2 linked regions of the Drosophila melanogaster genome follow. The protein of the gene in region 2 interacts with the protein of the main gene of each other region in a pairwise test. Each region holds a gene or a part of one and is shown on either strand. Other genes may lie near its edges.

Evidence for each region.
Region 1: the proteins of CG9801 (region 2) and CG2336 interact in a two-hybrid assay, tested with the Drosophila melanogaster proteins (one large-scale study listed by BioGRID).

What each region holds. Positions count from the first base shown.
Region 1 is NT_033777.3:6,579,007-6,583,175, reverse strand, and holds CG2336 (uncharacterized protein), read right to left. Parts: upstream 2,393-4,169; 5' UTR 2,260-2,392; coding exon 2,249-2,259; intron 2,181-2,248; coding exon 2,166-2,180; intron 2,104-2,165; coding exon 1,161-2,103; 3' UTR 905-1,160; downstream 1-904.
Region 2 is NT_033777.3:8,744,418-8,749,801, forward strand, and holds the start of CG9801 (uncharacterized protein), read right to left. Parts: upstream 3,259-5,384; 5' UTR 3,109-3,258; exon of another isoform or gene 2,927-3,108; intron 1,245-2,926; exon of another isoform or gene 1,062-1,244; intron 1-1,061.

The sequences.
Region 1 (4,169 bases), 2.2 Mb from region 2:
ATGCTAAGATTGCCCGTCGTATTTCATATTTAGCGTGCCTATATTGAACAATTCGTTTGAATGGCTCCATCAGGGTATCGGACGGGAGCCTAAGTAAAGTCCCATATTTTCGCACTTGTTTGTTTATGAATTTGTTTATTTAGTGAGCGGGCCCTGCTTGCCGACATGCTTTACTATGCCACAGCGGGCCGGAACCCTGGTAGCCAACAGAATTCTGCTGGATTTCACGCAAATCTTATTTGCCCATAGCCACTGGACCCACCCTCAGCCGGAGTCCGTGGCCAGGACTCCCGACTCTGGTGGACAGAAATTCCACGGTTTTGTTTTCACTGCCTGCGTTGCATATTTCGCTCTGCTCCGCACCGCTTCCATTCCATGCCCCTTGGCATGTGCTGGTTTTTTAAATTTGCCCAATTCCAGGCATGATATGTGTGTGGTTTGGGGCTGGGCGAAAAATTCGAGCCTTATTTGCCTTTCAACTTGCCCGGGATCTGCGTCGGTGGCCGTGTTATTTATGCAAATGTCAAATATTTTGATATTCCGCTGCCATGTGAATGAAAGCAAACGGAAGTACATTATAAAGTTGCCCAGCCCCCGTTTGCCAAAGTCATTCCCATTCCCGTATTATTTGGCCAACCAACAAGCCGAAATGTGCCACTAATATGACCGCCCAGTGGCCCCTCTGCACGATCGACCCTCAGCAGCGACCAAGTGGAGTAATTATGGCATATTCGAAATTCCACCCGCCATCCAGCCACTTCCCACCCACTCACCTGGCAGCCTCAACATTTTGTTGCCAACACGAACCGCCTTTTGTTGCCTTTGTTCTGCAGAGCGGGGAAATCGGGGAAGGTGCCAATGGGGCAAAGTTAATTTTTGAAATTATTGGCACGTTAGGTGAATTACTTCGCAGAAAGAATTTTTAATATCGCAATACAAAGTCACTCATAATTTCCATTAGGCCGGGGAAACGGCCTGTTGAGTTTCCCCGGAAAATATGTAGGCCAAAACTCTTGGGACGGGCAGACGTTTTGTAGCAATTAAATTGGTAATTGAGTTGCCCAACCGGAAAGTCAATTAGCCAGAGGCCCTAGATCAATGACTAGTAATTTAAATTGGCTGTCAAAAGAAGTTCGAGTGCGACCCCCCGATGGGAGAGATCAGTACTGGACGAGTGCCTCGCGGGCCAACTTTGCCCAGATGGTGCCAACTGGATGGACAACCACTTTGCGCTTTCCCTTAAAGGTCAATGACTCGTAGTGGTAGCCGTCGATAATCTTTGCGGAGTTAAAGTTGCAAACGAAGGGCAGAGTGATTTCGTTCAGATTAACGTAGTAACAATTAATCGTGAAGATCAGCGGACTTAATCGGGCCACCAGTTCGTAGGCGGCTGCCAGTTTTTCGTTCCAAATGCACACAGAGGTAAAGTTAAGTGGTTCCTTAGCCTGCAGCTCAACGGCCTCCTTCATGGTTCGAAAGGTGTGCAGGGTTATGACCCCGGTGGGTCCATCAGCCAAGTAACGATGGCTAAGGTCGTAGACCAGCATGGGACTAGCATTTTCTGGAACAGTCTTGGGATTTCCAACTATTCTCTTTGCCTGTAAGTGACCTATTCTCTCCAGTGTCATTATATAAACCGGATGCCCGGAGATATCCGTGCTCAACGGTTCCAGGCGATCCCTTATGCGATCCACGAACTCCTCCAATATGGATTCCTGCAAGAAAAGAGTGGCCACCGCATTGCAGGCGAAGGGATCGTGAAGAGACTCAACGAGATAGTGCAAAGCGCAATTGATGTCTCCATCTTCGCAGAGAATCATCAGCCGCGGCGAGTTCCACTGGTATTTAACTTGCACTTCCGGTTCCGGTTCATCTTCACTCATTGAACTCGATCGGGAATGGTATGAAAGCCTAGGCACCTTCTTTGGCTTCTCAGGAGCACTGTCTTTGGACTTGAACTCTGTCTCAATTTCTAGGATCAACGGCACACTGACATCCCGAGGCTTGTTGCAAACCAGATTGTAGATAAATCCATAATCAATCAGTGGAGTCGGCAGCAAAGGGTACTTATAGATATATTGAACCTCCTCTTCTAGACTGATACTGTTTAAAAAGAAAAATATTAAAATACTCAGATCTGGATAGTAACTTATATCGATACCTACGCCGTGGGTCGGTTGCTGTGAATGAAAACGGAAATATGCATATTAGCGATAGCAATAGACACCATAATATTTTTTTTACTTACTTGTACATCATTAAAATCGGAAATATTACAAACTTAATAGATTTAAATATTTAAAAGGTAAACTTAACCGTTACTGAAAAGCCTATTAAGCTCGTCCCAAAAACAAACACACTCAGAATTTTTTTAACACTTTAGGCTTAGGATAGTTACATAATCTATTCGAAATCTGAAGTCTTTATAAAAGTGAGCTCCAAGCCGTACTTCCTAATCAACTGGAAATGCCTGTCCGCCTCGGTATCTAAGTTTCAGATACGTTGAGCCTTGTTATATCGCAGTGATTTATCAAATCACACTCATTCACACTTGACTTGTGCAGTTGACCGCCCATCGAAGGCTGCCCCCAACGACCTTATTGTGGGCAGAGGGATTTACAGTTGATTTAACCGTTTAAGCATGGCTAATGCATAATAATCGTTTGGCCGCAAACTTTTCAACCACTTCTGTGGGCATTTGTGTTTGAGTTCAGTGTGTATGTAGGGCGATTTCCCGTCCTGTTTTGCCCCTTGCCCAGACTCCCGTCCAACCTATTTGAGATAGAAATCATGTGCAGTCATTAGATTGTTTTTCGATTGACGTGACATGATAATGAAAGATTTTCTTTCGCTCGTTCCTTTGTTTCCCTTCGCTTTCTTGGCTCGGCTATTCTTTCCGCTTGCTTTTTCTTGGGTCGCAACTTTTGTGGCGCCCAACGTGCAATTTGTGCGAAAAGTGGGTGTGCAAAGTGGCGACGTGGACAATGGAAGGCGGCAGGTGGCAGGTGGCTGCCACTTTGTTTGCTGATTTGTTTATGGCTGACCATAATGACCGATGAAGTGGCAGCTGGCCGCCTCAAGTGGTTGTTAAACCCAGTTTCGCCGGCGAAATTAACACGAATTGCAATTAAAGTGGGCACGAAAATCATTCTCATGCACTCAGCCGAAAAACGTTAAATGTAAAATCTATATATCCATTTATATATATATGCTTGCAGTTAAAATATATTTAAAATAGAAAAATGCTTATACCGAATTAGAACACTTTATAATTAAAAACCACGATGATATGATTTCTTTCCTATATGATAGAGTGTTTATATCTGGAATTAACAAACTTACAATAAAAAGACTTTTTGAAAGTTTTATTCGGCTAGTTCTAAAACTGAGACTCTAGTTTGCATACAAATCGACGGACGCACAGAAGGTCATGGCTAAACCAACTCCCTTTTCAAATAATGTGTTTTATTTCTAAATCGTTTACTCAATTTTTGTTTTTGACTTGAAGCTTATTCTAGCCAAAAGCGTTTAAAGCGGTGACTGACATTTGTGGCAGCTCGGACCGACTGGCGATGACAGGTGGGACAATGACGGAAAAGTGTCGCCGGCAGCCCGACAACTTCGAGAGCTGTTCACCTGGTGGGGTGAGGACAAAGACTGGGCGAGACTGTTTTGCTCATTAAGGGACTATTTAAATAAAACGCCTGTTAACTACAACGAGATAGGCGAGTTATGTATGTTATGTTATGAGGTGGTTTTAATTAAAATGTATAACTGGAATCAAAAGAATCAGTCAAAGAAAGCCGCACACATACAAAAAAGAAAATGTACCACGTCTGGCGTATTATAAGGGCATTTCCATTTCCTACGGACACATTGAGTCCCTGACAGGGGGAAATGGCAGCGAGCGAGCTCTTGACTCGCAGGACGACTTGCCACGCCCCCTGCCATCGCCACCGCCGCCCACGTGCCACTCCTTTTGCATGTCCTCGTCGCCGTCGACGTCGTCGTCTTCGCATTTCGTCTGGTTCTTGAGCGGCGGCGCTTTGTTTTGGCTTAATTAATACGCGTTTACATGTTGCCGACTTACGCACGCTTCGCATGTTCCAGAGACTCACTCACTCAAATACACACAGTCACACATTCAAACTTGGGACGCCTCCAGGACA
Region 2 (5,384 bases):
TCTCTATCGTCGGTTATGTACGTTAATCATATTAGAAGTAAGTGAAAATGTCCCCAGAAAGGACGTTCATTACAAGGAGCCCCTACTGTACAAGACCTTGCGGCGGGTTAAGTGACCGATTGGCTGTCAGTCCCCAGCCAACCAACCTCACCTCTCGGACTTCTAGTTTTAATTTGAATTTCATTCCGTCTCGTGTGGTGGCCAAACGCTTTGGTGGTTCGCTTAGTCATATCACTCGGCTGACTAATCATTGAAAGCGGAGCGTGCTTGGAGGGAAACCTTAAGCCCCAGATATACCCCCCTTCTAACTCCAAACCATTTACCGAAATCTCCACCCCGCCAAAACCCCACACAGCTGCAAATTCAATGAACCTTTGCTGCTGTTGACTTTGCTGATTAATTGGAAATTGGCAAAATGTTATTTATTTTCGCGCGGCTGGTCTAGCGCCAAATGGTTGTTTTTCATCAAAGGCATAAAGTTCTATAAATGTTCCCAGACAAATTGGTTTTAATGAGCCGGAAACTTTTTCGGTTGAGCTCGGATTTTTACGGGTTTGGCGGATAGAAGGAGAAGCCACATATTGTACCCGATTGGCTTTAAACAAACACGGACATACTATACTGAGACAACTTCTTCAGTGGCTCGCTAATGCATTATACAAGAATGAACTCCTTTGCAGGCACGGCCGAGCAAACAAACTTCAACTTGTCCGGACCAACTGCGTCATAAAAGAGCCAACGGCAGCGCCAATCGCCATCTCCGTTTCCAGCGAGACAACAAAGGATGTTGGGCGCCGGGAAGCAGGAGGAGCAGGACCTGGGAAACCAGCCAGTTGTGGATGGAGCGCAGACAGAACAACTTCATGCAACCCCATCCCCTGGGAACCAGACGGCAGCCAGGAGTCTGTGTGCCTGATCCTTGCCATCTCGAAACGAAAAAGAAGCCGGCGAAAAATATATAAAATGGAGAAACAAAATATTTTCCCGATGTGCATGCATAGTTCAAAGTTAGTTTCAGGCATCTGTGCACCACCAAATACACCACATTCCCCACTACTTACAAGCAGAATTGTGAAAATTTTTTGGTTGCCAAGCGAAAGTGATTGAATTCCTAGGGATTTTGTCGGGCGCCAGTTGAAAAGGAATTTTTGATGCGTTTAAGTGCCGAAGTTTCCCTAAAAAAGTTTGGCCTTAGAGTCAGGGGATGTATTAAAAAGAAAAATGTCGAAAGTTTTTGAAAGAAGAGATTAACAATGATGTGTGATACAATGATTGTGTGTTTTGGTCTGGAGAATTTAAATCTCAATAAAAAACTACAAAATGTATATTAATGAGGCTAACGATGGTTATATTATGCAAACAAGTGTTGGGGGGAATATAATTATTTAAAATAATTGCATTTTTTTGCGATTCCCACTTTGCAATTCTAATCCCTAATAAAACTAGAGATAACTTATCTTATGAAGCAATTTGTTTACTACTGCGACTGGTCTACAGAATATACTGATGCAATCGCTTTAGAAGTGTGGTAGGTAATCCCGTTCGTTCTCAGCCGGAAATCACCCCCAATAAGAAGTTTAGATAATCTTAGATACGGTATCTGCTTGTTGTTTGCCACATGCATCTACACCCTGGATTCTAAACTTAGTTCCCCCAAAATATCTGACCGAGTTGTCCCCTTTAATTTACAGCTTATATCCGGCATGTTTTTCTCCCGTTTGAATTTTGCCACAGTTTGCGCCAGAAGTTGTGAAAAGGGCAGAAAGAGAACGAGTTGAAAGTTCCCATTAGAATGCCCAATCCAAGCCATCCTGTTCCTTTATTGCGTGGCCCCTTTTTTTTACATTTTCCGTAATTCCCAGCCAGGCACCATCACGTGTCGGGTTTTCTCCAAGGTATTGGGCTTCGTGGAGAATCGATTTTGTGGCCTGACGAGCCTGTTATCCTTGGAGCGAGCGCTTTTGGCTTGTTTCAGGACATAGAAATTGCCTGCTGCATGTCCGAAAGGCTCAACGAGAAATTATGCTAGCTACACTGAAATCTAAACTTCAGTTCAAGGAACTCAGGAAAGAAAATACTATTCAGAAAATGAAGTTTTTATGTTTTAAAACTTTTATAACAGTTTATAATATTATTGATACGATGTCAATATTTTATATTTGTTTTAGTTCGGTAAAATGAAGATTATCATGAATTTTTCTCAGTGTGCGAATGGAGGTGAGTGCGAAAACGAGAAGGAGGAAGCATCCATCACATGCATCTGCAGTTGGCAGGCAGGTAAAAATGTTGTACAAAAAATGAATAACTGACATTTTAAGTGGGAAAGTTTTTGCATCAAAATCAACTGCCTGCCAATGCTGCTACCGAAATTCAATATATTAACAAGTGCTCCGTAATTGTAAATTATCGCCACTTTTTACAGTCATTACTATTAGTAAGTTTATAATTATGTGGGTAACAAAGCGGTAAAATATGCCAAACGAAAAACAACACCAGCTATTAGCACAGTTTCGAAATACGATAAAGCTTGAAAACCGGTTATTGCACCAACGAAAGCTGACTTTTGTTGTTCTTGTTTTGTTTGTTATTGTTATTTTTGCTAGAGCAGCTGAGATTTCGCAGCTGCCCGTGAAGTTGAAAACAAAATAAGAGAAAAAAACAAACGGCAGGTGAATCAACAGCGGTTCAAGCGCCCAACCCACCCACAAGTTTGTTGGAGGGGGGACGACGACGTAAAAAACAGAATAATAAAGACGTAAACCCAGTTAAATGGAAAAATCAAGGCGAACGAACACACACGGAAGCAAAAGCACAAAACAAAAGGCGACAAAAACACGTCGAAGGCGGCAAAAAAATTTGGAGAACCCAAAAATCAATAGAACTTCGAAATATCCATAACCATGTAACACAGTGCACATTCACTTACAATAAGTGTGCCTTCCTCTTCTGGGTTGTTTTCTTATCGCTACTTTACATATGTTGGCGCCACTTGCAATGGGGAAATATATGTAAGTGCGTGCGTTCCGTTGGTGGTGTGTATAAATATTTAACATTTGCCGGAGGGTGGTTCCATCGCCCAGAACTTCGGCTTCTGCATGGAATACTAACATAAATCGCGCTGCACAGTCCACTTTTGTGTGTTGCACTTCGAGTCCCAATGGTTACCAATTAATGTCGCTACGAAATGGAACTGCTAACGACTGTTTCCGCCGCGGACCGACGTTCCTGCTTCGATTTGAAATTCGAAGTGAATTGGCCAAGCCAAGCGATATTTGTGGTAATCGAATCGTCGATATGAAACACACTATTCTATGTGCAACCAACCGAGTTGGCAGCTCCCAGCGCGATTTTTCAGTATATTTTGCAGTATTTTAATTGTTGCAGACGGCTTTTTAAAGCGCCACCAGTTCGTTCACATTGTCGCTATTTTTCAGCATTTCGCGGGATCTGTATTTTTTATAGGCGAATATTGAAATTTGCATGGTCTAACATTGATTATAGTGTTGTATTCACCGAATATTTATTGGTTTTACTGTCCATTGCTTTGAAAGCAATAGAAATAATTGAGGATCAAGTAAGTTTAAGATAAATTATTACAGTTAAATGCCGATGCAGGCACTCACGCACACTAACGCACCCAAAACAGCGACACGCGAATTTGCGAATTTCGTTTTGGCCCGTTGTTTGTGTGTTGTTGCTGTTGTTACAACGTTGTTTGTGCTAAACATTAATTAATTGTCGCAATGTCTGTTTCGCTATAAATATGCGAAACGTGCCGTTGTTATTTGCGCGAAACTAAATGGCCAATTGCGCTTTACCGGTGTTAGTGTAGGTGTATGTGTTGTCTGTGTGTGTTTGTGGTTGCTGGCGCGGGCGAATGGCGGGTAATCCGCATACACTCGCACTTATTTTTTGCAAAGGGTTTATGCGACACTCGCTTTGATCACGATATTAAAAGCTCAAACACCACTCTACCATTATACAAATATTTATTTATGTAAAATAAATGCGGTTAAATAATTTACCTTAGAACTTGCCCTAAAGGATATTAAGTGCAATTAAAAGTAGAACAAACATTCATTGCTAAGTTACTAAATGAATAGCATTTTCTTTTGCAAACTTGTTCATTATAAACTACTCCTTCGAATATATATTTACTTAGTATATTTTCTGTTTCCACGACTTTGTCTCACACATAAACACGTAAAAGCGCGAAACAGACACAACGCACACAGGTGAATGAACCTTTTTACGTTGTTTTGTAATCTCAATTTGTTGCTGGGCCGCCGCGCAGTGTGTGAATTTTGTAATTGCTTTGAGCGCGCGAAAAGAAAACACACACATGTTGTGTTTTCCCCTGAATTTTCCTTTTGCCAGCTGTTTTTCCTATCTCTGCTAATTGTCCTGCATCGTTCTCTTTTACGTGGTGTCTCCGTTTCTCGCGCAAAAGCTCGCGAAATGTCAAGTTTTCTTGCCAATTTTTTTGCGAGTTCATTTGCATGTTTGCTTAATTTGTTTCCACAGCAGCTCCGCAAATGTTAATGAACCTTACCGGCCGACAGAAATTCGCAATACAATTTTTACAGAATTGACTGCTAAATGGAATTTCATAAATGTGTGTCGGTTATTTATAGACCACATTGGTTCATAAACAAAGGACGTTTCAATTTAATGTAAATAAAACGTGGTATACTTAGAACTTGAAGTATGTAATTTACTTAGTATTCGTACTTATTCTTACTTAACATACTTACCGAATCCCTATTGAAAGATAGAAACACATCTTGTAAACTTTTTAAAAGAAATTATCTTTCTGTATTTAAATATGTTGTTCTTGTTTGTTTTGTTGTTTTAAGGCAAAGCGTTTATGCATAAAAATATATTTTTATACTTTTAGCATTTTGTTTGGTTTGTGGTGGCTTCTATACAAGTACAATTCGTTTTGTAAACCATTTGTCCTAAAGCACTAAATGATCTCATTACTTTATGCTTCGCGTACAACAGTTCCCCCGGAGCACTATAAGTACTCGCCAAGTTTCATGACAAGCCCTAGAATTCTACAAAACCAACCGTATGAAGGGCAATGGATCGGCATAGCTAAGCTTTGGTTGAGGCGTCTCTTGATTTCATACGGACCAAGCGAACTGTTTTATGAATATCGCAAGCACTATTTTAAATTCTACCTGATTTTCCCTTCCCAGTCAGTTTTTCTAATTTAAGCAACTGCCGCACCCAATTAACTTTTTTTCGGTTGTGTTAAAGCTATGCAGACGAACTGTTACTAGAAAGCACTTTAAAGCCAAAGCGTCACCTGGAATTCGAATTCCCATGCCCATTTCGCTCGCCTCGTGTAAATAAATGTCTCACATTTTAGCAAGGATTAG